3 linked regions of the Rhinolophus ferrumequinum genome follow. The protein of the gene in region 2 binds, or shares a complex with, the protein of the main gene of each other region. Links are inferred from orthologs where the notes say so. Each region holds a gene or a part of one and is shown on either strand. Other genes may lie near its edges. The genes, in order: LAGE3, TPRKB and OSGEP.

Evidence for each region.
Region 1: TPRKB (region 2) and LAGE3 share a complex: the UniProt entries of both Homo sapiens proteins name them as parts of the EKC/KEOPS complex. The link is inferred for Rhinolophus ferrumequinum from reciprocal best matches to the Homo sapiens genes TPRKB and LAGE3.
Region 3: TPRKB (region 2) and OSGEP share a complex: the UniProt entries of both Homo sapiens proteins name them as parts of the EKC/KEOPS complex. The link is inferred for Rhinolophus ferrumequinum from reciprocal best matches to the Homo sapiens genes TPRKB and OSGEP.

What each region holds. Positions count from the first base shown.
Region 1 is NC_046284.1:6,158,436-6,168,513, reverse strand, and holds LAGE3 (EKC/KEOPS complex subunit LAGE3), read right to left. Parts: upstream 3,683-10,078; 5' UTR 3,507-3,682; coding exon 3,325-3,506; intron 2,999-3,324; coding exon 2,870-2,998; intron 2,637-2,869; coding exon 2,522-2,636; 3' UTR 1,882-2,521; downstream 1-1,881. UniProt on the Homo sapiens protein: Component of the EKC/KEOPS complex that is required for the formation of a threonylcarbamoyl group on adenosine at position 37 (t(6)A37) in tRNAs that read codons beginning with adenine.
Region 2 is NC_046296.1:18,110,199-18,121,074, forward strand, and holds the start of TPRKB (EKC/KEOPS complex subunit TPRKB), read right to left. Parts: upstream 4,073-10,876; 5' UTR 3,961-4,072; intron 861-3,960; 5' UTR 842-860; coding exon 701-841; intron 1-700. UniProt on the Homo sapiens protein: Component of the EKC/KEOPS complex that is required for the formation of a threonylcarbamoyl group on adenosine at position 37 (t(6)A37) in tRNAs that read codons beginning with adenine.
Region 3 is NC_046289.1:71,613,378-71,623,791, reverse strand, and holds the start of OSGEP (tRNA N6-adenosine threonylcarbamoyltransferase), read left to right. Parts: upstream 1-5,750; 5' UTR 5,751-6,005; coding exon 6,006-6,120; intron 6,121-8,044; coding exon 8,045-8,164; intron 8,165-8,347; coding exon 8,348-8,523; intron 8,524-10,228; coding exon 10,229-10,324; intron 10,325-10,414. Other genes in the region: PIP4P1 (type 1 phosphatidylinositol 4,5-bisphosphate 4-phosphatase), read left to right, coding at 304-410, 844-949, 1,147-1,199, 1,304-1,394, 1,870-2,013; APEX1 (DNA-(apurinic or apyrimidinic site) endonuclease), read right to left, coding at 3,069-3,586, 3,733-3,925, 4,581-4,765, 4,964-5,021. UniProt on the Homo sapiens protein: Component of the EKC/KEOPS complex that is required for the formation of a threonylcarbamoyl group on adenosine at position 37 (t(6)A37) in tRNAs that read codons beginning with adenine.

The sequences.
Region 1 (10,078 bases), on a different chromosome or scaffold from region 2:
CCACTGATCTGCACAGGTGTGTGAGGAAAGTACGCCAGGCCGGGGGAAGGACCACCCGAAAGGATGAAAGAGGATGATGCCCAGGGCTCAAGCAGGACAGGCACTAGAGGCTGTCCCCACCGGCCAGAATTGTTGCGACCTGCACAACACAAGCTGTGGGAAGGCGAGGGAGGCGGCGAGGGTTAAACTATAATAAAGAGACAGAGACTCATATATATTTAAATCACAGAGGACCAAGGGACTCGCAGCCTCAAGAGACTGGAGCCCCGAATTGGGTCACTGACAGTATTTATTGATTACAAACAATGCACATCACATGATTAGAGGCAGGGTCTGTGAAACTCTTACACCATTTCAGAAAAATGATTTCAATACCCAATTATTTGTCCCAAAGCAGCCGAAGCATATCGTCCCAAGATGACTAAGGTGCGGTATGCACCACCCTGGGGGAGAGAGTCTCTCGGGGTGAAACTGTCCCATGAGCTGAGCAGAAAGAGCTTGATCTTATCGCTCTAATGGGCCTGTCTCACAATAAGGTGAGAGGGAGCAGCAGAGGCAAGCAGCAGCTTCCCACAAGAACAAGAGGAAGGAGGGGCAAGGCTCCCTCCTATTATTTCTTATAACAGCTCATTGGGGTCCCAACGGGGTCCCGTCTGGCTTGAGTTGTCCCACCCGTGAGGAATCTTACTCGTCGTTGACCGCAGACCCTTCTCTTGAAGACCAGATGGAGAGACTCAGGATATTATAAACTCAATCCCAGAGAGGCACAGTCCCATAAATTCTTCTTTCCTTAGGGAAAGGTTGGGGGGGACAAACGGCTAGGCTGCTGTGTGACCACACAGAATGGTAAACCTCACAATTTGGGAGGCATCGGGCAGGGTGCTCAGGAGGAAGGGTCTTGCCTCAGTCGTGTGGGAAAAAAAAATGACTCCCACACTGAAAGGGCCCACGCAGCAAACCTTCAGAGCCAGACTCTAAAGGATCCGACTGTTTCCAGCATCCAGAACAAAGCTCAAAATATATGTCTAGGCCTACAAAGATATCCAGCCCCCAAGGGAAAATCATGTCTGGCATCCAATCTAAAATTACCAGGCATGGAGAGAAGCAGGAGAATCCAACGCCATAACGAGAAAAGATACTAACCAATAAAAGGCATCCAAATTGAAAAGGAAGTAAAATTGCCTTTATTCTGAGAAAACATGATCATCTTGGAGAAAATCTGACGGCACTTATAAAGGAGCTGCTAGAATAAGTAAATTTAGCAAGCAATGCAATGTATTTTATAGGGAGCTCATTCCTTCCAACGAAAGGCTTAACCAATTGTCCCAGCACTTTTCTTCACTGACCTGACACACTGCCAGTCAGCCCACAAGGCTCTGACTCTAGTATATCTGGGTTGTTTGCTCTTCTCATGCAAACTAAGTTTTTAAAAATATTTGCCAAGGAGACCCAGCAGTGGCAAGGAAGTGGGAAACCAGCATTCTGGTGGGAGGGTACATTTTCTGGAGAGCAATTCTGCACTGTAGATTGACAGCTTTAAAAAATAAATCATAAATATTTAACGCAGTAAATCTACCTCTTGGAATCCATCTTATGGAAACAATCATGTAAAGATTTATATGCAAGAATTCCATTGACTCATCCATTACCTATAATAGGACAAAAAAATTGAAAATACAGTTTTCCTGAAAATAAGACCAAGCTGGACAATCAGCTCTACTGTGTCTTTTGGAGCAAAAATTAATATAAGACCCTGTCTTATAGTAAAATAAGACTGGGTCTTTAATATAATAATATAATATAATATAATGTAACGTAATGTAATGTAATGTAATATAATATAATATAATATAATATAATATAATATAATATAATATAAAGACAGGGTCTTATATTAATTTTTGCTCCAAAAGACACATTAGAGCTGATTGTCTGGCTAGGTCTTATGTTCGGGAAACACAGTAATTTAAATGGCCAATAATTACATTATAATGTATCTTTTATGCCTCCATTCAATAATGCTTTTGAAGAATTTTTAGTGGAAACGTTCATGTTAGATTAAAAATATCAGTAAAAATACAAAATATTATACATTATGTATTATTGTTATACATTTACTATATAAAATACAGGTTTAAAACTAAGGAAAGATTCCAAAATGTTGACAGTAGTTAATACTGAACGACAGGACCCATCTTCCATTTCCTAAACTGTCTTCAGTTACCTGGTAGTGCTTGAATATCTGAATCCCAGACCTCTCCTCCAACCCTGGGACAAAGGCAAGAATATTAGGTGCTGTAGTTTAAAAGAAAATCAGACATGGAATAGTAGCTCAGTTGTTGTCTGCAGTAAGGACCAAACAAATGAAGTGAACCCCCAGTGTCCAAGGGCCGGTACAGGCAAAAGATTTAGGGCTCCATGATAAAGTGGCAACTACTGCAATAATTGCTGTCGTAGGAAGGATCCATTGCCTAGGATGGGACACAAGGTTGGGCCTCAGCCCCCTTTTCCTAGCTCAGGCTTAGCGGGAAAGAGGGGGCCCAAAGCGCTGCATGGTCCGCATCACCAGGGAAAGCTGGTCAAGAAAGTTGATGATGGATATTCGGAGGAGGCGAGAATCATCAGCTCTCCAGCGGCTAAATGTGAGGAAAAAAGAAAATCAAGTTAGAGGTGGTGACCCCTCCCCATCCTTGCTCTGCCCCTCAGGCATCTGAACCCTTTGCCGTCTCCATTACGACACCTCCCCCTTAGACTGCACCAAGTCCCTCCCCTAGACCTAACCCTTGAGTGTCTCCACCTCTCCCATAAAGCGCCTCTCGGTAGAGACTGGCCCTGCCACCCCCCACCTCCTGACCCTCCTAGAGCTTACACCGCTAGGACGCTGCCGCTCACTGTGAGCTCCTTCCGAACCGCCCCTGGGTGGGGTTCCGCATCTGGGGCCAGAGACCCACAGGCGATGTCAGCCTCCAAGGGGGACGGGAAAGGCACACTGAGGGCGCTGGAAATTGTGTCAAGGCACCATCCACAGAGACTTTGTGCCTCGGGTACCTTCTCTGGCCACCTTGACTAGTCTCACTCCCTTCAGGACTGCCTCCAGCACTCCCAGGGCACCCCAGGCCCTAATCCCCGCCCCCAGCCACCCCGTTCCCCACCTGCTCTCATTTCTTATCCTCCAGACTCCTCCTGGCCTGTATACCCCCAGGCTGCCCCTGGTTCCTTCTGTTCCCCTTTCCACACCCGCCGCGTCCGTCCCTCTGCACCCAACGCCCCCCTCCCCGCAGACAGCCCCCAGCGTATTCCCCGCTGTCCCTTCGGGTAGGATACAATGTATGTAGTCGGTTTCCCGGTCTTCTGGCCGTGGACGCTGCGTCTCCGCCCGGCTCTGGGCCATGCTGTGCTCGCAAGACTCGAGGAGCTCCGCCAGACGCTGGGGCCGCCGTGGCCGCACTGCCGGGGCCTCCCTGGCCTTCCCCTCCGCTGCAGCCTGCGTCTGCCGCCCGCTGCATGGCCGCGGCGCTCCGCCTTCGACCCCGCCCTCGGAGAGCTGGTCTAACCGACTGACTGCGCTCTCCGCGGGAGGCTGAGGAACTGCGGCTCCTTTCCGAAGCTCTGCCCCTTCGCCCTGACTCCGACCAGGAGGCCTGCCGCCACTGGGCCCTAGTAAGGACTCCGGGTGTGTGGTGAGTTCCCGGCAGCCCGTGGGCCCCGGGAGACCCTGTGGTGGCCTAGCCAATGAGCCCTCCCTCATGAAGCTCTGCCCCTAAGAGCAACATGTGGCCCCCAGTGTGCCCGCCTAACCCGTCTTGCCTTAGCCCCCTCCACCCACCTCGTGTGAGGCACCACACAGGTGGCTGCTTTCCCGCCCTGTCTCTTCCTTGGGCCCAATGTCCCCAAGAGATGTGGCTCAACGTACTTGCAGTGATTTGTGGAGGGAGGTGAGGTCCGGTAACCCACAAGGGATGGTGTTCTGCATCCCACCCCCATTGCCAATTTAAATGGGGAAACCAAAGGAGGCTTTAAAGGGGACGACGGCCCAATCATATCTGCATTTTTAGAAACGAAGTGGGCGGTGAGAAGGTCAAGCCTGACAGCAGGGAGACCCACACAGAGGCAAGGAGGGAAACAATAGGGACCTGAGATAAAGTAGTGGCAGTGCGAACAGGGCTAATGTCATCTGTGAAAAATCAGGATGCAGAACCAAAATCACTAAAATCCCAATTTAGTAAATTACCGTATACATGCACTGAAACTTAGAACAATACACCAAAATGTAAATACTCACTACCACTGTGTGACGGCACACTGGATTATAACTGCCATCTTGTGTTTGCCTGCAAATTTTTGACGATGACCTTATATGACATTTTTAATCAAAAATAAGTTCTTAAAGTGACATGAAATTTCTGACAGTGGTTGTCATGGTAGTTTTCTATTTTCCTCTTTTGTAATTATAAGGAAGGACATAAAGCTGAGCTATATCATCAAATCTTGTTGGATCTCCCGCTCAAAACAGCCCCTAATCAGTCCACTTTCTCTACTGCTCCATCGCTAGTCTCCAGTGGAAGCCACCATCTCTCCCTGAACAGCTTCCTATCTGGTTTTCTTCTACACTTGCTCCTCTAGAGCCTGTTCTCCACACAGAAGAATCAGGTCTTGATTTTTAGTATAAATCACATCATTTCACATCCCTGCTTAAAATCCTAAAACAATTTCCCATTGCCCTTGGAATCAAATCTAACCTCTTTGCTGTAGCTTATGTCAACTGATGGTTGTTGGCGCCAATTCAACATCACCTGGAATCCCCAGTTTGGGATGTAGTGAAGGACAATGTATTCAGCACAAAAAGCTTAATTGTGACACAGCCCAGCTGTGAGAATGTTCAATAGTGTTACAGCTCAATTATGAGACAACACAGCTGTGGAACAGCATGGCTGTGAGGTGGCTCTGGGGCAAGGCAGCCCCAGGGTGAGGGCCATCTCCAGCTAGACAGCTGTGCTCTGCTCCACTCCAGTCTGCTCCACTCTGCCCTTGCTCTTCTCCGCTCTGGTCCGCTGAGACTTCTTGTGTATTTGGTCTTCAGTGTTTCAGCTCCAGCCTGGGAAACACTCTTCAGTCTTCTGTGTAAAGGGAAAGTGCACTCTCCAAGACAGAAGTAAGTCTTGCCCCTGGTCCCTGATTGGTCCATCCTCATGCAAATGACACTCCAATTCCTCACAGTTTGATTGGTCCAAAAAGTACTGTCATGATTGGTTAGAATGGAGCTTCTCTGATTGGTGGGTGAAGATGCTGATGAGGGTGTAGTTACACAGCTCTGGTTGGATGGGGAAAGTTTCAGTCTTATTCGTTGAAATAGGATTCCAGGAACTACTTTATAAGGGTTGGCTCAGATGGCAGGAACACAGTACAGGCAGGCAGTTCAGTGTAGGCGTCTCCCAAAGCAGGGCTTGCATGAGAGGCCCCTGTTTAGAAATAGCTGCTAGGCTCTGTTTGATTTTTTTGTTTGTTTTTGTTTTTGTTGTTGTTGTTTTTTGAACCCAGTTATCCACTAAGATCCCTTCTTAGTAGGTATCTTGTTAGGATCCACACTTATAAAAGCCCTGGGTGACCTGGCTGCCAGCTCCTCCACACTCTACCCTCACCTGCCTGCTTCCTCATTCTCTGCAACCTCTGAGGGTTTTCTGTACTCCTGACCAGAGGTGACCCACCCCCAGTCCTTTGCACTTACTCTTCTGTTTGGAAGACTATCCCCAAACTTTCCCATGGCTGGCTCTTTCTTGTCATTAGGATCTTGGCTCCAATGTCACCTCTGAGAGGACTTCTGGGTCACCAGTCTAACATACTACCCCCAGGCATGCTTCATCACATTTGCCCACTTTAATATGCTGCATAGCATTTCTAATAATCTGAAATTATAACCTTGTTTTGTTCACTTCTATATTGTTGATATACCATCTCTAGTACCTTTATTTTTTTTGTTCAGTGCAGTTTATGCAATAGGTGGTTTGTTGCTTGTTGAATAAAACAGAGTATTACTAAGTACAAAACTCGATCGCTGTCATGGACCCAGCAATCTGCAGGTAGGAAGTTACTTCACAAATAGGAAACAACATATGTACAATGTTACTCATTATAACCTAATCGGTAACAGAAAGTTATTGGACACAATGTACATGTCCACCAGCAGGGAATTGGTGAAATAAACTATGGCACCTTCATGCAATAGTCCTAAGCAGCAATGGAAAGAAAAGAAGAACGAAAACCTCTAATGAGAAAGTGAAATGATTTGCAGGATACATTGTTATGTGAAAAAAGCAGAGTGCAAAGGACACACACACTCATGGACACACACGCACTCTCAGACACAAATACTCATTGGGAAAAAGACACAAGAAGGAGATACCCCAAACTAATGAAAATGGTCACCTGGAGGAGGTTGACATGGGTATAGCATTTCTTGGAATATACCTTTTTCTGTAGTTTTGACTTTGAACCATGTAATATTTTATATGTCCAAAAATATGTTTGAAAGAGTGAAAAAGATCAAATGCTAAAATTGAATAAAAACAAAAACAAATGAGGCTAACTGAATATCAAATTTATAACAAAACCATACAGAGAAAATAATTCGGGTGCCTTTTAAACTCAGCAGTCTGACTGTACTCCCTTCACGGGATGTATTCTAAGGACAAAAGTCACTGGCCTTACTCTTAAGATGTTTGTTGTTGGCAACGGTAGTGATGAGGTGACTCAAAGTATTTTGGGGGTACTTTAAGACAGACTCTATCTGTTAGAGCAAATGAGTAAATATATCTATGCTGTCGGGAATGAGAATTCTCACTGTGGAATAAGGGAAGGCGACAAAGAACTGTGACACTGGATTGAAATTGGGGATTGCAGTATGAACTCTTAAAAATATATTTCCTAGTTTTGTCCACTGAAAGAGTCTAGAAGCAATGACACCCTGATAGCAATGAGCACACCCTGCGCGCAGACCTTGGGTCCACGATGACATTCTCCACTAAAAGGAACCAGACCTTCTCGGAGAAATGGCTGATTCCAGGGCTGGGACAGGAAAAACCACAAGATGAGCCTGGAGTACCTCACTCTTAGGAGTTGATCACGTGGTCAAGGCAGCCTGCACCTTGACCACGTGATCAAATTGAGCCTCCCCAACAGTGCCATGGCCTGACCAGAAAGTAAGGAAGTGCTTTAAAAACTTGGCATGTCAAAGGGACATAGTTGTCAACCAGGAAGAACCAAAGCTAGAACAATTTGAGCATCCAAAAGGATATTAAACCTTTTGGAGAGGAGTATGACTGGAAGGGGGCACTGGGGAAGGTGCTGGAGTACTGGCAATATTCTGTATTTCGATCTGGAGAGGATAGATACATAGGTGTATTCACTTTAAAAATCCATCAAGCTGTAAAGTGATGATTTATGTACATTACTGTACGCATGCTATAGTCCAATAAAAACTGCCCCCTAAAATGACACTCTTGGATTCTAAGTTGTTGAATAATAATAATAATAATACATCCACTGTGATAACTGTGATAACTGAGCAAAGAGAGCAGGGAAAAAGGAGAAATGCCAACTAATAATTGTAGAAAGAAAGAATCAGAAAACCATCATTTGCAGCTACCAATGCAATTTATTCAGGGAAGAATCATCTTTGGATGGTGAAACCATTAGATAAAGGCTGTTGGGGAAGAGAATATTCACAGGGTCTCAAGGTATTACCCCAGATTACTTGTGCATTAAGAAGGGAAAAATGCAACTTTGCCACTGAGAGACCTGGCAGCCTCCACCTTGACCATGCGATCAAACCAACAAAGCCCCCCTAAGAGTGGGACAGCCTGACCCCCGTGCCTCCTGATGGTGGGGGTGGGGGGAGGGAAAGACACAGCACGCCCTTGGCAGTGCTCTAGTCAAAATGCTTAAGCTGAATCTAATGAGGAAGGACTCAGGCAAATCCAGACTCTGGAACATTCTACAAGGCAACAGCTCTGGATTATTCCAAAAATATTGTTCCCTGATTGCCTATGGAGAAGGGAGAGTTGGGAGAGGCAAAGGTAGCTTCCTGCTTCCTGTCATTAAAAGCCTGGCTGAGTGACATTGCCATTCATCCAGGCAGGCTAATGTGGGTGCCAAGAGGAAGGGAAGTGTGTCTTCCAGTCCCAGTGTTGCCAGCATTTGGGACATGACAGGCACTCAGTGAATGTGTGCTAAAAGCGTGAATGAGATGTCTGCAGGAGAGCCAGGAGCTGTCTCACAATCACACCACAGACGTGGCAGTGAAGGTGGACAAGCTCCCCTGAAAGAAGAGAAGGACTCCAGGGACAGATCCCTTGTGGGGACAGAGTCCCAGAGAGCAGTTTCCAGGCTCTCGGCCTCACTGGAAAGGTGCTGGCTTGGGTAGTAGACGGCCATCAGCTGTGGCCAGTTAGCCATTAGCCACTGATATAGCTACCGTGGCTAGGTTGGTTGGTTGGTTGGCAGGCAGAGAAGCGGACAGTAGGTTGCGGATCATGTGGATCCTACTTCATGTGTCTTGCCCAGCCGCCAGTGAGACTGGGGTGCAGGAAGAGCCCTTGTTAGGGGTGCTAGCAGATGTTTGCTCCCTGTGTCTCCAACCCAGCTGCCAGAGAGTATATAGTGGTCTGACTCCTCTATCTATGGCTCCGTGGGTGGTCCTTTTTGGCCTCACCATATCCTGCGTTCTTGTGCGGGGAGCGGGAGCAGAGTCCCTGCATGACAGCCCTGGAGCCCCCCGACATTAAGAGGTGATGTATGTGTGTATGTGGGGTTGGACAGGGGAAGAACCAGCAAAGGAGCCAGAGAAGGAAGGAGCAATGAAGTGGAAGAAAAAGCAGGAGAGTGAGTACAGAAGACAGCAAGGGATAAGGAATGCCAGAGTCATTTGGTTACCCCGAGAGGGTGGGAAGGGGGTCAAGTTCCCAGGAGCTCAGGGAGGCAGGCAGCTCTAGCTGGGCCCTGGAGGTGGACAGGTCCATTGTCTCTCCTGCAAGCTTTTCAGAGCTCGTAGTCTGAGCCTAGCCACAGCTGTTGCATCTGCTTCAGGACTGCCTGTCCTGGCTAAGCAGTGCCCCTGCTGAAACTATAGGAGATGGCAAGGCCTGGTTTTGGCCAGGCATGCATGGGAGGCCTGAAAGGTGTCGGCAAATTGTGGGCACAGCTAATCTGTCACTTGGGCACTTCCAACTGAACAAGCCCACCCCAAAGCTAATGCTGCTGTCCTCTGTGTCTGCCCCCCTCCCTGGGCCTTTGGGAAACGGCACCACAAGCATCTCAGTCCAGGTGCCAGACCATTTCTGTCTGAGAGGCCACCACTTCTCCTGGCTTCTCCTAGTGTCATCACGATCACAACAGAGCCTGCAAGTTGCACCATGTCCCTGGGGGGCAAGGACTGCTCAAGGCCCCTCCTCGAGGCAATGGGTGTCAGGGCCCCACAGTGGGCAGAGGACAGGGAGGCACGCCCTCCTGGGTTGCCACTTGGTACAAAGGGACTGCAGAAAAACATTTTGCTGCGTGTTGCAGGATGTCAGCATTTGGGGCCTGCAGGTGTACATGGGGCCATCTCCAGACTCCAGAGGCTAAGGTGGAGTGCAGCCTGTGGTTGCTGCGTCCTCACGTGGAGTCCCTCGTCTCCTGTCATGATGGCACAGGGCCTGGACCAGAGCCTCCTGGCCCTGAACCCCCGGGGCCTCCTCCCATCTCTCACTCCTGCAGCTTTTCCTCCCTCTCCTGCCTTCCCTTCCCCATCTGCCTGTCCCTGCTGTGCCATACACAAGCTTCTGAATTGACGGTTCCCTCGTCACCATCACCGCCTCCTCCCCTCCCCTTGCAACTGCTTCTGGCCCACAACATCGGCAGCCAACTTGTTACTAACGCAGAGGAGGCTCCGTCCTGCTCTCACTTTGCCTCTTGGCAGCACTGGACAGCTTCCCATGTGGAGGGCATTCTTGGCTTCTGACTCTGAGCTCTCCCCATGGCCTTTCGTCTGCAGGTGTTCCTGGCCTCTACTGCATCTTCAGTTGATCCCCAAGGCCTAGTCCTC
Region 2 (10,876 bases):
CATTAAGAGCTAATGTTATGGGAAAGGCCATATTCTGAACATTTTATACCTGTATTATTTTCTTTAATTCTTAAAACTATACTATGAAATTGGTATTATTCACATGCAGTAGATGAGGAAACCAAGGCAAAGAATGTGTGGGTTTGAATCTCAGCTCTGTCACTTACTACCCAGGGAACGTGTGCAAATTCCTTAGATTATCTGTTAGATGCAAGTAATCTTACTTCATAGAGTTGTTGTGAAGTGAGTTAGTATATGTAAAGCACTTAGAAGAATGCAAGTATGTGTAAAGCCAGATACAGAGTAAGCACTCTATAAAGGTTGGCTTCTACTTGCTCAAAGTCGTAATAAATGGCAGAGCTTGGATTAAGTCCTGGAAATGTAATTTCACACGTGTGCTCTTCATCACTATGCAATGCTTCCTTTGCAGAGATTCTGTAGTTCAGATGAGATGGAGATCTACTTATCTGCCACTATGTCAGTGCCAGACTACAACCTTTCCTATCTCCTAGAGCAGGGCCTAGCACTTCATCTTCCATTCACTGTTAAATTCAAGGTTGGCCGAATGTGATTCAACTCGACAGCTTAGACAAGAACTTTTTACCTGAAGATGACAATTTTAGGCTAACCTGTAACATCATGGAAAATGAACACATTCTTAAATGCCCTGCAGACCTCACTCATTCTCACTTGTACTTACCACCGCAGGGTTTATTAATGAACCATCAATGGCACCTTCCATGGCCTTTTTTCTCAAGTCTCCAGCATTTTTTACATCTTTAAATAACAGAAGGGTCACCCTGCATTCGGGAAATAAGTCCAGCTGATGTGTTAACTGCATTTCGTAGATAAGCAGGATTCTATTATATAAAACCAAAAAGACCAGAGTCTTTTGTTGAAAAGTGAACATTATAATTCCTTAACAAATATCTTTGCTAACAAATAAATTTTCAAAAATAATAAGATGATAGAACTGATAAACTAGGAAAATCCATCCCCAAAGCACTTTTGGCATCCTCATGAGATGTCTTCTTCCTCACACTGCTGAGCTGTTTCTAGCTTCCTTTATCATTCCTGGGAAAGGATCAAGGTTGTTGCCTGCTCTTCTGGTTGTACAGATGAGGTAAGCTCAGCTGCATGGCTGAGGGGCAGCTTCCCCAATAGACAACTAGGTGCAGAATACCAGGAATTTTTTTTTATTTAATTTTTATTGGGGAATATTGGGGAACAGTGTTTTTTTCCAGGACCCACCAGCTCCATGTCAAGTCATTGTTTTTTCAATCTAGTTGTGGGGTGCACAGCTCAGCTGCAGGGTCAAGTTATTGCTTTCAATCTAGTTGTAGAGGGCATAGCTCATAGTGGCCGATGTGGGTATCGAACCAGCATCCTTGGTGTTATGAGCACCACACTCCAACCACTGAGCCAACTGGCCACCCACTGGCGGCTCAGCTCCAAGCTCAAGCTGTTGCTTCTCACTGGTCCATGTGGGAATCGAATCAGCGACGCTGGGGTTATGAGCACCTCGCTCCAACCACTGAGCCAACCAGCCGTCCATCAGGAATTTTTTAGACCACAGGTTACCTATGGTATTAATGAAACCTCACTAGAACTTAGCCTTTTTAGCTTTCTGATCTCACTGTTTTATTTAAATTTTAGCAGAACCTAGACACACATATTAAGGAAAAAAATAATTCTAGAGAAAAGAAGTATTACACTTGACTCAAAGATATTCAGTTCACACATGCAATTTAACCAGAGGGTACAACTATTAAATAATTAATAAGATTGGCCCTTTCTTAGACATAAGTTTAAGAAGGAAAAGACAGGGTAAGTATAAAGATATAAAAGATGCATGAGACACAACTTAAATAACTAGAAAGACGTAACCATATTTGTTAGGTCCCTGAATGTTAGAGACCTTGACTTAATGCTAGGTCTATGAATGTCAGGTCTCAGAGACCTTGACTTATGGACAAAGCCATGTCTGCAAGAAAACAACAAAATGTCTGTTGACCTGTACCTACAGACAGAGCCGAACTTGTGATACAAGAAAACAAAACAGTATAGCTACTGGCTTACAGGCAGTCAACATTTTCTGTTCAAGCAATGCCACCCTTTCATCAGAGCCCCTATAAAACACTCCTCACCCCCTCTTTCGGGGCTGCAAGTCTCCTTTAGGGGTGTAGTCCAGACTGTAGTGGTCTTTGCTCAGTCTGATATATACTTTTCTCTCTTACCATAAAAACTTCCTTAACTTGCCTGACAATGCACGTTCCTTTACTGGCTGACCTGTCAATATTCTTGAATGGGAAAACAAAGTTTTACAAAAATGTGATCTTTAAAACATTTTAATCAACATCTTAATGAGATATTTGGGTGAGGCAATTTGATAAGCTCATTTTACCCTTTTATCTGGTAGGTTCATATCTAGGACTCTTTCTCCAGAAATAAATTGGAAATCTGAGAATTTAGGTAATAAAAAGTTCCTCTCATCATCCTAATAGTAAAAAGTTGAAAACTTATTTAGCTAACAACGGGACTGGTTGTGACTAAACAACCATTAAAAACTGAAATCTTAAAGACTAGTTAAAGATATGTGAAAATAGCAATAAATAACATGAAGTAAAAATATCTGACAGGAAAACAAAACATAAAATGTGGCATAAATCATGGGGTTTTTAAAAGGTAAAAAAGAAAAAACACTGGAAGGAAAATTCATCAATAAAGTTCTCTCTGACTTGGTGGAATTATATCTGTTTTTTTCTGTTACAATAAGGAGTAAAATATCTGTGAATAATGTCCCGGCACATAGCAGCTCAATCTTTATTGTCATGATAGTGTCCAACGGAAAAACTACAGAAATGTGTAACAAATATATTCCCAATTATACAAAAAGATGAATACAGAAAACAAAAACATGAAGGAAACACACCAAAAGATGGCCATCTTGGTAACTGGATTATAGGTAATTTATATGGTCCTCTATAAAAAATATTTTTGTATGCATGTTCTGAATTTTTTATAGGGAGCACACAAAATATAATGAGCACATATAATCATGGAGGAAAAAAAACCTTTTGTGGTTTTTGTTTTTACACTAGTAAAACGGACCCCTAGCACATGTCAAAATAGTTTGTTTTATATAATTCACTCACCTAGGCCAGAAATTTAGATTAATCTCTAGTCCCATTTCTAATCAATAAAATCGTGCCGATTTTACCTCTTAAATAACATTTTAACCAGTCCACTTCTCTCCCATACCCACCGCCACCACACGAGGCCACCATCTCTCATCCACACCTATGGCCTCTTAGGAGCGGTCGCCTCAAAATTCCCGCTCTCCTATCATCCAACCTCCACCTGGCAAAGTGACCCTTTCAAACTGTAAACCAAACCTTGTCCTTCCGCTACTCTTGTGATAAGGCCACAACTTTATGTCAAAGCGTTCCGGATTCTATGACCTGGGCCCTTCCTCCCTCTTCTGCTTCCAAGCGCATCTCCTCCCTGACTGCGCTCTTGCCGCTACCGCCGCAATGGCCTTCTTAGCTTCAAGTCACCAAGCTTTCTCCCCACCTCTGCCCTCACCGGTAGGGAGTTCCCGACTCAATTCCTCCCTCCCATCAACTCGCCGTTAAAGAGTCTATATACTAGCGAGCCCAGAGCCCCGGAGCTGGGTCCCTATTATACGAGCTCCTTCTTATCCCTCGTCACAACTTCAATGAGTCGGGACCTGATTGGTTTTCTGTACCCTCACTAAGGTGTATAAACCTTGAAGGTAAAGACTGAGTCTATCACTTTGGTGTTAAATTTCCAGGGCCTGGTCTCGGCAGGCGCTTGTTAAACAAGGGCCGAAGGAGCTCCAGGCGTGGACTCAAAATAACTGGGTTACAGCTGCCCGGGATCGGCCCTCCGCTCTCCCACCTCCAACCTTCTCCTCCCAGCCCCGCCCGGAGGACTCACCGCCGCCTGCCCCGTCCGTGTTGGAGTGTCTTCCCCGCGGAAACAAAGCCCACCACTTCCGGAAGCTTGGCCGCAGCATCTGTCTTTCCGGATCCCGGAGGGAGGGAGTTTCCGGTGGGCCGTCCCGCCCACTCTTCCGCGGGTCCTTCTTCCCCGCGTGAGTCCCCTTAGCGGACGCGAAGGAGAGCTCCGTCCGTCACTTCCCGTGAGAGAGGGCTGGAAAGGATGCGTGGGCCGGGGCCGAGGTCTGGGTGCGAGCCTCAACTTTGTCCCTAACTTGTATTGGGCCTTGAACGAGTCGTCTTCACCTTCTTCCTGTGCAAAGCATTGGCCGAGAAGAGCTCTCTACATGTCTCCGATGGTCGAGATTCAAGTTTTTTTCTTGGCACGCGGGACTCGGTTGCCTTTTTGCTCTCGGTGCGGTCATTTAGGGAGGATCTGTTAGAGCGGATGGAGCTAGGCTATTTGCCTTGGATACTTATGAAGAGATTGGTGACTACATTAATGAAACCAACCTTTCCTTCATCTACCAGGCACAGGAATTTGGTTTGTCATCCCTGAATGTACCAGCCTCTAAGAGAGGAGGGAATCCCCTAAACAGGTTGTAGAGTTATTTTCCATGTTCTTTATGGTTGGGGTTCATTCTGGTCAATACTTTACACAGGACAGGTAAACAACAAACACAGCTGTCAGTGAATATGTGCCATGGAGAAAAAAAATGGAGAAAAGGGGGAATGCCAGGTCGTGAGTATTACTATTTTAAATAGGACGGTTAAGAAATATCTCACCAAAAAGGACCATTTGAATAGTGACTGGAGGCGGTCTGGAAGCAAGCTGTGTGTGTATCTGGGAGAGCAGCATTCAAGGCAACAAAGAGACTTCAAAGGCTCTGATCCTGTTTAAGGAATAGCAGGGAGAACTGTGGCTTGAACCAATGGGAATACATATATATTAGTAAAAATTTATTCTGACAAAAGACTTGTATCCAGATTCTATAAAGAAGTACAACTCAAAAATAAAAGAAACAACCTAAGTAACTAAGAATGGGCAACATTTGAACAGACACTCCACAAAAGATACCTGAAAGGTCAACAAACACATAAAAAGATGCTAAACATCATTAGTTATCAGGGAAATGCAAATTAAAAACATAAATACTACTATGCACCCATATGATGGCTAAAATTTAAAAGACTAATAGTATCAAGTGTTGTCCAATATGCAGAATAACTAAAACCCTCATGTATTGCTGGTCTAAATATAACAGTATAACTACTTTAGAAAAGACTGGCAGTTTCTTTAAAAAATATATAATTTAATAAAAAATTACTTATAAAATATACTTATCATACCCAGAAATTTCATTCCTTGGTATTTACCCAGGAAAAATGAAAATGTGTGCACACAAAGGCTCATACATGAATGTTTATAGCAAATTGACTCATAATAGCCATAAACTGTAAACAACCCAATGCCCAACAACACGTCAATGGTTAAGCAAATTGTGGTAAATCTATACAATGAAACACTACTCAGTAATAGAAAGGAATGAATTACTGATACTTGCAACAATACTTGCAACAAGAACAAGGATGAATCTAAAAACGTGATCAGCAATAAAAAAAAGAAACTGAAATTATGTTACTGCATGATCCCATTTCTACAAAATTCTAGAAATTACAAACTTATTCTACAGTGACTAATAGCAAATTAGTGGTTGCTAGGATTGGGAGAATGGGAGACCTTGTCTGGAAAGGACCCCAAAAGAACCTCTGCAATGAAGCCAATGTTCTGTATCTTGATGTGTTAGTTACAAGGAAATATGAATTTGTCAAAATTCATCATATTACACACTTTAAAAGGGTACATTTTATAGACTATAAATTATGCCTAAAGTTGTTTAGAAAATAGGCATTAAAAAAAGTTGTCACCATTCATAGTAGCTTGAAGTTGTCTGTGTTCAGAGCAGCTTGTCTGTAACCACCAAAAGGTAGAAACAACCCAAATGTTCATCAAGTGAGTGAGTGGATAAACAAATTGTATATCCATGCAATGGACTGCAACTTGGGAATAAAAAGAATCAACTATTGCTACATACTATAACAGGGATGAATCTCAAAATAGTTATGCTAAATTTAAAAAGCCAGACATAAAAATACGACATGCTGTATGATTCCATTTATATAAAACTAGTCTAGAGTGACAGAAAGCAGATCAGCAGTTGCTTGGGTAGGGGGCATGGGGTGGCAAAGGGGAATTACAAAGGGGCACGAGCAAATGGGGTAATAGGTATGTTTGATCTTAACTGTGATAATGGTTTCATGAATGTATACATGTCAAACGTATCAAATGGTATACTTTAAAAATGTACAGTATATTGTACATCAATTATATTTCTAAAGCTCATTTTAAAATCACAAGACAACACTATATCTGTATTAGAATAGCTAGAATAAAAGAAAAAAACAGACAATACTGTGCTGGTGAGGATGTAAATAACCAAAACTCTTATACCTTATTGCCAGGATTATAAAACAGTACAGCCATTTTGGAAATGTTTGGTAGTTTCTTATAAAATTAAACTTATAGCTACTTACTCCATAGCAGCAATTCCACTCCAGAGGAAAACATATGTGCTCATAAAAACCTGTACACAAATGTTTACAGCATCTTTGTTCAAAAGTCAAAAATTGGAAACCCAATCCTTCAACTGGCAGATGGGTAAACAAATTAGGGTATATCCGTACAACAGAGTACTAACTCAGCAATAAAAAGGAATGAACTATGGGTCCACTCAGTGACATGGATGAATCTCAAAAGCATGCTAAATGAAAGAAGTCACATTCAAAAGGTTATATACTGTATGATTCCGCTTACACGACATTCTATAAAAGGCAAAACTACAGGGAACTGAAAACAAATCAATGGTTGCCAGGTCTGGGGTTGGTAGGAGCAGTTGGGTTACAAAGTGACATGAGTGAATTTCCAGGGGTGATGAAACTGTTCTTAATTATAGTTACAAAACGGAATGCGTTTGTCAAAACTCATAGAATTGTACACTTAAAAAAGGATGCATTTTACTGTTTTTCAAAAAGGCACCTCAGAGGTAAAGATGATCCTTTTACCTACAGCTGCACAGGAAGAGAGATCATTATGTATCATAAAATTAGTTCAAAAGATCTGATTTGATGAAGTGTTAACTGAGAACTTTCCTAAGTTCTTTCCTAAGAATATCAACCTTGTTCTCGCCTGCAATAATATAGACTTGTATAAATATACGTAAGTGTTATCATCTGTTAAAGTAAATCTAACCTTGGTAGTGTTATCTGAACAAGTGGGTCATAGAAGACACCCAGACTCCAAAAACTATTCCCATGTCCTGAGAAAATAACCCACAAAATGAAAACTGTACTTCTTGAAAAACTGTTATGTTGGATGTAATTGACATTTCTGTATTCCTAAAAGATGAATATGTGTGGGATCTCAATGTCCAATCAGTGGAAGAGCTCTGGTACTTCCTGCTCTCATATGCATAGTTGAACATTAAAAAGTATGACTTTGCCAGATTTATTAACAAATACTAGTGTCTTACCTAGGTCCTACAAAGCAGAGCCTGAGGCAAGGATTAAAGTGCTGCTGTTTTATTTGGGTGGTGAGAGTGAGGATAAAAGGGAAATGAAGCAAGGAGAGATGGAAAGCAATGTGAGGAAATGTATCACCTTCCTGGTAGACTTCACAAGGAACCAGAAGGAAACACAGGTTGTTTGGTATGTGTGTTTGCTCAGCAGGCTGAACTTTCCCTGGGAGACTTGAAAGGAAAAACCATGCCTGAGAGTAGTCCACAGAAGAGAGACAGGAGGGGGAATTTGCCTGTCAGGCTCCTCCTTGTCTCATGTTTCATTATTCAAAGATCTCTACTGTGGGAGCTGTTGTCATTCAGCAGCCTACCTGTCTGTCCCCTCGTACCTACCCCTAAAGAAAGGAGAGTCCGTGAAACTGATCCTTTCAGGGACTTTATCTCACCTTTGTGCTTACACCTTATATCTCCCATTTTGGCCCCAAAGGATGGCTGGTTAGTCAATGATGGGTAAGATTCCTTGAGGGAGGAACACCTAAGAGAGGCACAATCGCATAGGAGCCATCTGGAGAACTTATGGGGTTGATAGAGGTGGGTACAGCCACCCACCTAAGGAGAGCTTCTGCCTCTGTGGCTATATTCCTTCCCACAACCTGCTTGGGAAGAGATTCAATGATGTGATAACATCAGTTCTCCATCTATTCATATGCATAAAGGTTTTGTCCCTTGGGGAGGTACATACATCCTGAGACTTACAGTTCTGACTGCCTGCAGGCAAGGGTGATTGGTTTGAATCAGTTTCCTAGTATAATGTGTGAAATTCACAGATCTTGAGATTAACAAGCTTTACTTTCTCATTTGTTAACCAATAAAAGCTATGCGTTGGCCTGATTCGGGGCTCAGTTCTTGAGGCTGGAGTCCCTTGGCCCCGCTTGGACTCTATTTTTGGCTACAGTCTTTCTTAACCCTGCGCCGCCCTTCTCGCTTCCCACAGTTCTTGTCGTGCAGGATGCGACAGGAGCTGACTCCTCCACACTTCTGATCATCTCACCCTTCAGTGGCAGCTCAGAAAACCAGATCCTGTGGCCCATAGTGTGGCATTTCCTCCGACTCTAAAGTGGAGGGATGTGGTGTGGGGGTTGGAAGGGCCATGCAGGCCCAGTATAACCTGGGCTCTAGTCATCTCAGGGAGCACAATACTGGCAAGGCAATGAAGAAATGTGGTGCAGGTGGCAGATGGCACCTTCATGGAGGAGGAGGGGATTGAAGGAATCTGAGGCCATGCTTAGAGCCTGTGTTTCACAGAACAGGAGATATGAATGAAATAAATGCTAAACAATGACACAAGGTACCATGTAGAAAAAGAAATAAATCAGTAGAGGAGTAGAGTTGTTGGGAGAAGGCTTTAAGAGATGGGGCTTCAAAAATGAGAATGGTTTGCTCACAGAAACCACAAGAGAACCATTATAGCCAAGCAAACAACTTGAAAGACAAAGACACAGTGGTATAAACATGCACAACACAGCGTTCTCAGGAAATGGCCGGCACACTGACAAATGGGAGAGGAGTATCGCAGTGAAACGTCGGCTGGAAGTCAGATCACAGAAGGCCTTGTCAAGGACTTAGAAGTGGCTCCTGAAGGCCATTAGTCATGCAAGATTTCCAAGAGGGGAATAACATGAATGAATTTGTTTCCAGGACATAATTCTGGGCCAGTTATTAAAAGTATGCTAGAAAGGTGGTTCAGACAGGACCCTGGATGGGATCCCCTCCACGGTAGGAATGTTTGTGGTTGACAGTGTAGGACCAGATCATGACTTAGGGTACTCAATGGCCTACACTCCTGGAACATGATGCATCAAAATCAACTTACCAGACTGAGGAGAAACCCAAAACCCACTTTTATTGGCTCATTTATAGTCTCATTACACTGGCCAGACTGAACGCACGCCTATGTCTGTACTCCCTAGCCAAAATGACAATAAGGGAATTTTTACAGATTGAAAACTCACAAGAGAATGGGAGAGATGACAAAATGGTAGATGAGAGAGAGCAATAAAGTTATCAAAGACGGTAGTGGTCAGAAAGGAGAAAAATAAAACCTAAATGTATATAGCATGGGGAAAGGAAACAAAAGGCAAGCTGACCACCTTATTACAAATCTACCACAACACAACCAGGGTGTCCATCAGCTTAAAGTGCCACAATTCTTAGTACAAAGAAATGGGCAAAAGTCACCGGATATTTCAAGAATACCTCCAACATGAGAGGCAGGTATCAATAAACAGGAAAAAAAAAAAAAAAAAAGAAGAACGAAAACAGTAGATGCAGGAAACAGAAGAAACCTAAAAATAACTGATAACTCGAGAGCAAAGATAATACATCCATTAAAAAAAGAATCAATTCACAAATATGTGTTCCTCTAATCTGTACATCATCGGCCTTGTGTATTTGTATGTCTTTCCTCAAGAAAAAGAATTAGTTGAACTTCAAAGAATTTTCAGAATATGCTAAAATTTTGGTAAGGACTTTGATAGAAAATAGAGGTTTTAATGGGTACTTATTATAGTTAGTGGTGATAATCACTTGTCAGAACATATTTTTCTTGCAAAATTAATAAAATTATCTAAGCGTTATTTAAAATGAAGTGCCTGGGGAAAACGTCATTTGGAAAATAAGAGCTAGTTCTTGGAAATTAAAAATGTATATAAAAAAACATAAATAGCAGAAAATGTAAACTATCAATAGAAGAATAGAAAATAAAGCTGAGGAAATTCTCTTGGTTTAAAAAAAGCAAAAAGGTTAAAAATAGAAAATAAGAGAAACAATATATTATTAACCTAGAGGTACATTTCAGAAAATCCAATATTCAACTAACAGAAGTTCCTGGAAAAGAAAATTGGATAAAGTAAAAAAATTTCTCAGATGCACATAAGTTGCCAGACTGAAAAAGCTCACTAAGTATCTAGCATTATGGATAATAGTAATAAAAAAAATACCCACACTAAGGCATATCATGAAATTTCAGGAAATCTGAGATAAAGAAGATCCTAAAGCTTTCAGAAAGAAAAATTGTAGGTCACAGATAAAAGCTCTGGAATCAGAATAGCACAGGGTTTCAACAGCAATAAACATGAAAAACAATGAATAAATGCATTTGAAAGTGTCTACCTGTAATTCTGTAATTTATCAAATTATCAATGCAGTTTAAGAATAAAATAAACCCATTGCAGAAAAGCAAATCTCAAAAAATTTACATCCCATTAACCCTCTTTGGGAAGCTACAGGAGGATATACTCCACCAAACAGGGAAGTAAATCATGAAAGCAGCGGCTATGG
Region 3 (10,414 bases), on a different chromosome or scaffold from region 2:
GACTCCGACCATCAGCTAAGTGCTCATCACGAAACCTGGGTTTCAGGTCCAGGAGTTTCACATAGCCGTTTCCCCAGAAGCCACTCACTAAATAAACCTGATGTTTACCATCCCTCAACTTCATACCTATCTGGGATACCTTAGCCTAGTTTTCATTTGCCAACCTCGTGGTGTATGCCTTTCTTTCATTTCTCTGTCCTCGCTAAAACCTCATCTATCTGATTTCTCCTCAGAGTGTTTTTTGGGGAAATGAAAGGGTTGGGGATTAGAGGTTTGCTTACCAATATCCCTATTATTCTCTAGCCAATCAAGAATGCACCCCCAGGGAAAAAATATGTTCGATGCCCCTGTAACTGTCTCCTTATCTGTAAAGTGACTTCACAGCGGATTGCCTGCCCTCGACCCTACTGGTAAGAGGCATAAGGTGGGGAAGGGCATCAGTGGGGAAAATCGGAAAGCCAGAAAAGGATGACTGTTTATAGTGAATGTCAAGATGAGAGAGCCTGGTGTTTAGAAAGAAAAGGCTAAGGAGTATTATGCATCTCGAATGTTATAGCTATCTTTTTCATCTCTCTGTAAAAAGAATGGGATGAAATGGTGTCCTTTAGGATAATGGAGAGTTTTGGACATTGTATCAATTATCCTGAGATAAAAAGAGACCTATAGTTTAAGGAGTGCTCTTCCTCAAGGAGTCTCTGGGGTAGAGTTGGGGGGGCAGAGTATCTTAAATGTATAGAGAAGTAGAGGAACTGAGTGAGACAGAGGGTGGGGGCTAAGAAGGAGGCACAGTGTAGGGATCCTTAGGATTAAAAACTTTTTAAATATAGTTTTTTCCTTGTACAGCAAAAGAATCATCAACCTGGGGCCTGTGCACCCAGGACCTCTGAGTCCAGAACCACAACCTGTGGGTGTCAGGGTCATCTGTGGACATTGCAAGAATACTTTTCTGGTGAGGAGGGGTTTTGGGAAGCCCTGGGGAAAAAAACCAGGAGGAAAGATAAATATACTTTTTGATTTATGATCATGAATCCTGAACAGGCCTGTTCTAAGAGGACCCATTTCCCACCCTCTCCTGCCCCAGGACTCTCATTGAAGATGACCCTTCTTGTACTATTAGTTGGTTTCTCCCTTTTTCTTTCTCCATAGTGGACAGAGTTCACAGACCGAACTTTGGCCCGTTGCCCTCACTGCAGGAAAGTGTAAGTGATTAGAGAGTGGCATCATTGAGCTAGTAATCGGGTAACGTGTCGAATAAAAATTACAGAGCCATTGCAGGCATCCATTTCTGTTTGCCTCCACACAGGTCATCTATTGGGCGCAGATATCCACGAAAGAGATGTATCTGCTGCTTCTTGCTTGGCTTGCTCTTGGCAGTCACTGCCACTGGCCTTGCTGTGAGTAACTATGATCCGACCCCTTTCATTCTCCAGCCTCATCTCTATAGGCTAAGATTTGGAAATGGCTACCTTAAAAGAAGTGAAAGAAATCAAGGGGGTTTTGTTTATTTTGTGTTTTAATGTATAGATGAGCTGAAGTTGAAGGTAACTGATAAACAGTTTTCATTGTTACTATAGGAGTAAAGAACAGCCATCTTCTTTATGCAGAGGATAGGACAATGGAATAGTGCTTAAATTAGGAGTTGCTATTAGAAAACCTGGTGTTATTGTAAGACATTAAGAAAAACTGACATGTTTGGGATTGTATGAGTATGTTCCTTCCTAGGGGGAGCTGAACTGGGCCTTTAAGCAGGTTCCTGAAGGTGGCTACACAGGGATAGGGAACAGGGACCCAGAGTTCTATGTTGCTGTTACTAGGGCTCCAAGAAAGGGGTGAGAGAGCCACAGTAACCTCCTCTTTCTTTTTTGTCAGTTTGGGACATGGAAGTATGCACGGCGATATGGAGGCATCTATGCAGCCTGGGCATTTGTCATCCTGTTGGCTGTGCTGTGTTTGGGGCGGGCCCTCTATTGGGCCTGTATGAAGGTCAGCCACCCTGTCCAGAACTTCTCCTGAGCCCCACGATGAACCACAGACTGTGCCTGACCCCTCCCTGGTGGGGACAGTGACACTACAAAGGGAGCCATGATAAAAGGCTCCCTGGGCTTCTCGAAGTGGAGCCAAGCAGCTGCCTTCCTTTTCCCTGGGGAGAGGTAGGAAAGAACCAGGCCCTCACCTCGGTTTGGAGGGGTAGGTAAGACCACTGCTGGCCATCTGCTTTCCTCCCAGGGTTGCCGTGTTTAGGGTGAAGTAGGCGAAATGTTGCCCCTAAACCTGGGTCCTAAAAGACGGTTCTAGCCTTGTCCTTCCTATAAGCTCCCTGAGAGCCATTCCTGTCCCTTATACATTCCAGGGCAGGGTGGGGGTGGGTAGCCCTGGGGGTTTCCCTCCCTCTTGTGTACCATTAGGACCTGCTGCTGCTATTGCACTTCTCCAGGGGCTGGCTCTGGCCTCAGTACCCTCAGTCTCCTCTCCCCCCATTCCGTGTCCTATGGGGGTGGGGTCAGCCGCTGCTCTGTACAGAACCACAGGAACTGATATGTATATAACTATTTAATGTGGGGTACGTTCCCCTAGTCCTGTGTTTCCCTTAATTCCTCCTGCCAACCTTACACCCCAGTTGTAGCATTTAACTGGGCTGGGTAGGGTTGCTGTCTTGGGGGAGGGGAGGGATTCATCCTGTGCTTGTAAATAAATGTGGTGACTCTACCCTTTTCCAGTTGTTAATCTGTTATGAAAGGAGGGAAATTTATGGTCTCACAAAGGAGTAGAATAGAAAGACAGGAAGTTTGAAATTATGGCTCTTTATTTTCATATGGACAGTTCAAAGGAAGTCATCAGTAGCTTTTGTTTAATGTAAAAAAAGAAAAAACCCACCCACACACAAAAACCAAAACCTTGGGCTTAAAGGAAACCCATATGTAACTAGGAGCCTGGTTGAAGGATTCACATTTTTAGAAGGGAAATACAGTGCAGAGTTCTCTAGAGAGCAGTTTTAGAGTTGGGGAGCAGGATGTTAAAGCTAGTATAGGGAGTTTATTTCCCAGGCTCAGGGTGATCTGGGGGAGGTATCACAGTGCTAGGTATAGGGTGATGGGACAGTGGTCACTGCCCAGGGCCTTGGAACGGATCTTGCTGTCACACAAAGCAGGTAACAAAGAGTGAGACACCAAAAAGTAATCAAGGCGCCAACCAACGTTTTTGGATCGAGCATTCATCATATAGGTCCAAAAGGTGTAGGCATAAGCCGTGCTGGGGTAGAGGTGCCGGAAACTGTCAGTCAGTGGCACAGCCTGCAGCAATTCCCCAAAGCCTTGACGCTCTTCTGGAGTGAAGCCAGCATTCTTTTTGTTTCCCTTGGGGTTTCGAAGGTCAATTTCTTCATGAGCCACATTGAGGTCCCCACATAGCACAAGAGGCTTGCGGGAAGCCAAGCCCTTCAGGAACTTGCGAAAAGCTTCATCCCAGCGCTGCCGGTACTCCAGGCGCACCAGACCTCGGCCTGCATTAGGTACATAGGCTGTTACCAGCACAAATGTGTCAAATTCAGCCACAATCACTCGGCCTTCCTGATCATGTTCCTCCTCGCCTACAGAAATGATGAAACAGTATCAATATAAAGAAGCATAAGAAAAGGGAAAGTAGAGAATAAAGGAATCAAGAATTGGGGTTGGAGTGGAGCACTAGCAATTGGTTTGGAAGAACTCAGTCCATAGGAAATCAATAGAGTCTTACCAATGCCATAGGAGACTTTGAGTGGGCACTGGCGGGAGAGTAGGCCCACACCACTGTACCCTTCCTTATCTGAAGGAGCTGACCAATACTGATGGGACAGTCCAGGAAGCTCTTGAAGTTCAGCTGGTAGTTTATTCTCTGAACATTTGGTCTCTTGCAGGCACAGGATATCTGGGGCTTCTTCCTTTACCCACTGTGAGTGAAATAAGTATAAAAAGTATCAATTCAGCAGACATTTATTGAGGAATCTGTGTTAAGTACTAGAGATACACAGTCCCTGTGCATAAGGAGTTGAACAGTTTAGCAGCACAATATTTAAACAATTCTGTAACTGGTAACTAATGGAAGGAGGTAAGACTGACACATGCAACACTAAGGAGATTGTTTTTCCTATAGGCAGTGGATAGCTAAGATTTTCAAGTACTAGTTATTTTTAATTTTTTTAAACTTTATTAAATTTATTAGGATGACACAGGTTAATAAGATTGTTTCAAGTGTAGAATTCTATAATGCATCATCTGTATACTACACAGTGTAAACACCAGTTATTGAAATAGAGGACATGCTGGAGATAAAATGGAGCAAGTTCAGTAACAAGGTTTTTTCAACATGCTGGGGAAGAGAGGAGGACATTAAGAGTTTAAGACAATGGCAATGGAACTGAAGGAATGGATGTGCAGGAAACAGGTGGCATGACTTGAAGCCTCTTCTTGTACCTCTCCCACAAGAAAACTACCTACAAGGGAACAATAAAACCTACATGCTGGGGACTAAAATAGGAGAGGGTGATTAAACCCCAAGATCAATACCAAAGATTGTCTCTTCCCCCCTCCTTGAATTCCACTTACATCTAAACCTTTCTTCTTAATCCAGGCTCGAAGCCCATCCACATTCCAGGAGCAGATCTTGAGTGTGGCTGATTTGCCACTGGGTGAGGTTTTCTTATCTGGGGGGTCCTCATACAGGACTGGCCCCTCTCCTGCCTCTTTTTCGTTTTTCTTTGCTCCCGCCTTGCTCTTCTTGGCCTCTGGCTCTATAAAATAAGTAATACATAGTGATAAAAGTTGGCGGCATCCAACTTTCATCGAGTTAACTATAGACCCACTGAAAGCCTGCAGTTCCCGCGACTTCTTCACAAACTGCAAAAATGGAGTGCGTCGGTCCGTACTTCCTGTTTATTCAGGAAATTAGAAGCAGCCTCTAGGGAGAAGGGTTCATTTCATTCTCTTACCAGTCTTAGGCTCTTCCCCATCTTCTACCACTGCTGCCTTTTTCCCACGCTTCGGCATCACTGTAACGAACGCCCTCCTGCACCACGTCGCCCAACGAAGCAGTATTTTTACCGCGTTGCCTACAAACGCAAATAAGTGGTGAAACCAGCTAAGGCTGGGGATAAAAGATTCTACCTTCGCGCGGCCCGTTATTATCTTTGAATTCTTTCCCCGCCTCCGTGCGCCATAGGCCCTTCAGCCCCTCACCCACAACACTAGATCATTTCGGTGCCTTGTACCCTCTTCATGAGATCTGTCCTCAGGCCAATTAGCGCCTTAATTAAGGGTCCTGGCTTAGGCTAGCCGATCAGACGTCTAGAGAAGCCCCTCTGATGGGCAAAAAAGAACAGCAACTCCATCTGACCTACTTGAGTCCCAGCCTGGCACCTCCTTACCCGAGCACAAAGAAGGGAGCACGCTGAGCCCCCACGTGGGTAACTGGCGTGGTCACGTCGTCTGAGACACCACGTGGCAGACAAACGTGGGTGATTAGTCTGTCTGGCACCACGTGACCGAGAACCTCCGCCTTCCCTTGCATCTCCAGAGTATCCGGGGGACTAAAGGCCCCCACCCTCCATTCTCGGACTGTTTATCCGTGTGCCAGATGCACGATTTCTTGTGCCACCCTGACCGAAGATTCCAACGCTGTGCAAGACGGAAAAAAAACAGTGGGGAAGGCAAGGATGGGCCACCGGAGAGAAGCAGAGCAAAGGATGGGAATGTAAGGAGTAGATGCCGGCTCAGCGTCCCTGGCAGTTAGGAGGACAGGTCCTGGAAGGGGCCTTGACCGGTCGCCGTGACGACGGGGGCGTGGCCAGCGCGGTCAAGTCACCCGCCGGCGGTTTTCGGAGTGTGTCTGGTTGCGCGCTGCCACTTAGCAGTTGCGGGCTCTCTTCCTCTTCCTCTGCGCTCGGGAATCTGAGGCTCAGCAAGGACTGGTGAGGGTTCCACCGCTGCAGTGGTAGCTAGGAACCCTGCCGGCGTTTACTCCCAGGCTCAGCCATGCCGGCGGTGCTAGGTTTTGAAGGTAGCGCCAACAAGATTGGCGTGGGAGTAGTGCGGGATGGCAAGGTGTTGGCGAACCCGCGGCGGACTTACGTCACGCCTCCCGGCACAGGTGAGTAGGGAACTTAGAGTTTGCAGCGCGCTTCTCCGCACACCATCACCTTCCATCTTCTAAACACTAGTGAAGAGCGCATGGTCCCGTCATAGAGCTTTTGATCTGAGTCTCCGATGTTATGTGACAGTATTAAAATCACAAGGCTGGCTGATGGATAGAAAAGTCACAGGCATTTGGACCTGGATCTTCAGGGTTCGTTAAGCTTTTATTTAACATCTTTTATATGCTAATTGTCAGTTTGCTGCAGGATACAAAAATAGATGTTATGAGCCTGCTGTGGAGTTGGATATGTAAACAACTTTATATTGTAGTATGATAAATAATGCAGATGCAATAAAAATATTCTAGAATGAAAAGGAGTGTAGACTCCCAGGTTAGGTGTCAGACAGAAGTGACGGGCTTTGCAGTCAGTACTCATATTCAGTATTTGTTTTTGGATTTCTTTACTCTTAAAATGGGAATAATACCTGTATCATTGGGTCATTGCATTGGGTCTTGAGAATTAAATAAAAGCACCAGACACATTACAACTTTTAATAGGTGTTATTTGTAAGTTATGTTATATCTTGCCTACCCTCCCCCAAAACACCTGTTTATATAGGAGAGGGCAACTGATTTGCATATACCTGAAAAGCCTCCTTGAACAGGTGACGTGACAGGCTACTCGTTAGAAAGATACGTATGTTTAGCATTTTGGCACTAGGAATACAGAGGTGCATAAAATAGCCAGTGTTTTGAGATGCTCATGATTAAACTGGGGAAACTACAGGTAATTATAATACTATAATTGTTACATGTTAAATACAGTTCTAGATATTTTTGCTACATTTTCACCGCATAACTAACTGACCATAAGCCAATTTCACTCTAAAAAGATATAAAATAACTGGTTGACTGTTTGGTTTACATTTGTCATACGTAATGCATGTAATAAGCTAGTTGACAGTTTGGTTTCATTTCTTCATTGAGGGAGTTCTTGTAGTTACTCCCGTTTTTATATTATGTAAATTGTAGCTCTCATAATAGTCTCTACAGTGATGAGTAGACGTGATGACCTTGAAATAGTGGATGATAACAGCTACGTGTAAAGCCAGATTACATACTGTACTGGAAAACCACATCAGTTTCCAAATCCTTCGGTGAGCACAGTCTTCCCTCCCACCTGTCAAACCTTAAAGTTTACCTAGCTATGGCAAATATAAGAGGCTCCTAATTCACAACAGTCTTCAAGAGCATTCATTATCGATTTTTTTAGTTGAAACTAATACCTCTCTTACCAAAGGAAGAAATTATAGCAAAAAAGAAAAAAGGCAATGCTGAACAAGGAGACAAATCAGCAAGCAAAAAAAAAAAGTATGATACTATGAACAAAAGACTTTGAAGACAATGTATTTTCGTTTTTTACAATAAAGTTTTTGAAAATTTTGTTACTAATTTTTCATGTTTCAATGTCCCTCTTTTATTTTCTGCTATTTTATCTTTTACTGTGAAATTGCCTTAGGACCAATTAGTTGTGCCATGAAAATGTTTACGGAAGAAATGCTTGCAGCAAAGATGTTACAGCAAACAGGCTTATGACAAAAATACCAGACATATTTAAATACAGTATGTTGAATACAATGCTATGATCGTGCACAGAGTTTGTAGGGTCACAGAGAAGATCACCGCAGGGTATAACATAGATATCACTTGACATGAGTCCTGAAGGCTGAGTAGGAGTTGGGTATGAAGAAGGGCATTTCTGAGAGGCTGTTCAGCCTAGCTGAGCAGGCTGGAAGTAATATATCTGAGCACCTGGAAGACAGGTTTCTTGAAGAGAATGAAAGGGACTCTTCCTACACTACTAAAAGCCTGTTTTTGACTTCTACCTACCTATGCTACAGAAAAACCCTATGATCTCTGACCTGTGTTCATCTCCTAGGATTTCTTCCAGGTGATACTGCCAGGCACCACCGAGCTGTTATCCTGGACCTGCTGCAGGAGGCACTAACAGAGGCTGGATTAACCTCCCAGGATATTGACTGCATTGCCTACACCAAAGGTATGGCTGGGTGAGTGGCTGACAGTGGAAGAATATCCTTGGAGCTTGGCCATGTCAAAATAGCCTATAGCTTGCCTCTGCTACCACCACTACCCTGACTCCACCTCTCACATCCCTTCCTTCCCTCAGCTCTGTTTTTTTCCATTCTCTGTAGGATTCTAACTCCCGTTTCTATCTCCCTAGGCCCTGGCATGGGTGCCCCACTAGTTTCTGTGGCCGTTGTGGCCCGTACTGTGGCCCAACTGTGGAATAAGCCATTGCTGGGTGTGAACCACTGTATAGGCCACATTGAGATGGGCCGTCTCATCACTGGAGCCACCAACCCAACTGTGCTTTATGTCAGCGGTGGAAATACACAGGTATTGAGAGTACGCCACCATTCCTTCTTAGTTTCTGATGCACTGTACTGGCCACTTTTGTGTTCTATCTGAGTGGCAGGAACTGCAAGAACAAAGCTGAGCTTGTCTGAACCTAAAATGTGATACACTAGAAAATCCACAACAAAGTTTGTAACATTGCAAATTGGAGAGAGCATTAAGTGACTTTTGTGTATGTGGTTATAAAGATGAAGAATTTCCAATTTAAAAAAGGAAAGAATGGTAGGGATTGAAGCCTTCAAAATAATGAAAGGATTTTCACTTTAATTGTTTTGAAGCTTATTTTTTTTTCTATGAACGTTAGAAATTATAACTAAGAGGCACTACCCAATTTGTTTCTTTATAGTAGTTACATGTTTTGTTTTACGCTATTGGTGATAAATATATGGAAGTTGTTATCCTAAGAGTGTGAAAGTGTAAATAATTTTTAAAACACTTTATAAATGGTAGAAGATATTTTAAGTTTATAGGTGAAGCCAAAGTTGTTTGGGATATCTTATGAGACCTTTCTTAGATTGGGATTGGAGATCTCCAGCCTTCCTTTGCCACAGAACACCTGATAGAGTTATTGTCAGAAATAGTCATTGTCCCGCCTATGAAAGGCTTTCACACAACTTCACTGTGTGAAATAGTTATTAAAGGTGAAGCACACATTCCCATGAAAATGATGTGGGAACTCTGACAGGTAAAGGGCAAGTAGCTGCTTGGGACCTGTCGGGTGGTATACAAGGTGAGGGCCTTGGGGTGTGGAATTAGCAATGGAGGCTGAAAAGATTTAAGAGGAGCAGTGATCGAGTCTTGAGTCTTCTCTTTTCCTCTTCCCTTTTGAAGCCTGCTTTGGTGTAAAAAATAAGGAAGATGATTTGGGTGGAGAGGAGTAGATGATAGAAGAAGAAAGGCAGGGGTTTTTCCTTCCCCTTTTGTCACCAGCCTTTTGACAACAGAGTAAGACCTATGAAAGGCTTTCACACAACTTCACTGTGTGAAATAGTTATTAAAGGTGAAGCACACATTCCCATGAAATCCTGATTGAATTTCTTTCCATCAGAATGGAAAGAAATCCCTAGCAGAAGGGAAAGAATTCCCTTCCCTAGCAGGAAGGGAAAGGGACTTCTTATGGTCTCTAGGAAGCACTCACTGTCGGAAGTATGAAGGATATGTGTCAGTGGGTAAATATTCTCTGTGCTAGAAGTTCAAGTTGATTGCCAGTGCTGAATTGGGTGGGCCATTAGTCCAACCCAATATGGGGTTTTTGAGTTTTCAACTCTACTTATTCTCTTGTTTGCAAATATTACTGCCCTGGAGAGATACTCTAAAAGGACTCTACTTCCCTCCCTCCAAGCAGCAAAGCCTGTTCCCTAGTCTACACTGTCAGTACAGCTTTTAAGGGATATATGAGTATAAGGAGCCTCCAAGCTAGAAATTAGCATTTGAAAGGCAGTTTGCTTCTGCCCTGACCTAGACTATCTTCTTTAGGAATCTGCTCTGGGAATCCTCAAGGTAGGTATGTGTGAGCTTCTTCTAAGATAAGAGCTATAAAAAATCCCACTCAGGCTTTGGCAAAGTGGTTTTTTTCCATTTCTTGGATGCTCTAGTGGCCATGTTGATCCTCTGCTATATTCTTCCCCAAAGCCAAATACTCCTCTTTACAGACTTGAGCTTTCATGGACATCCTCATCACCCTTAGGTGATTGCATATTCAGAACACCGTTACCGCATCTTTGGGGAAACCATCGATATTGCTGTGGGTAATTGTCTGGATCGTTTTGCTCGAGTGCTGAAGGTAAGCCATTGGGTTGCAGAGAACATAAGATGTGGCTGAATTTTGGGGGAGTCATGGAAATGGAGGGAGAAAGCAGTAAATTAGCTTCTT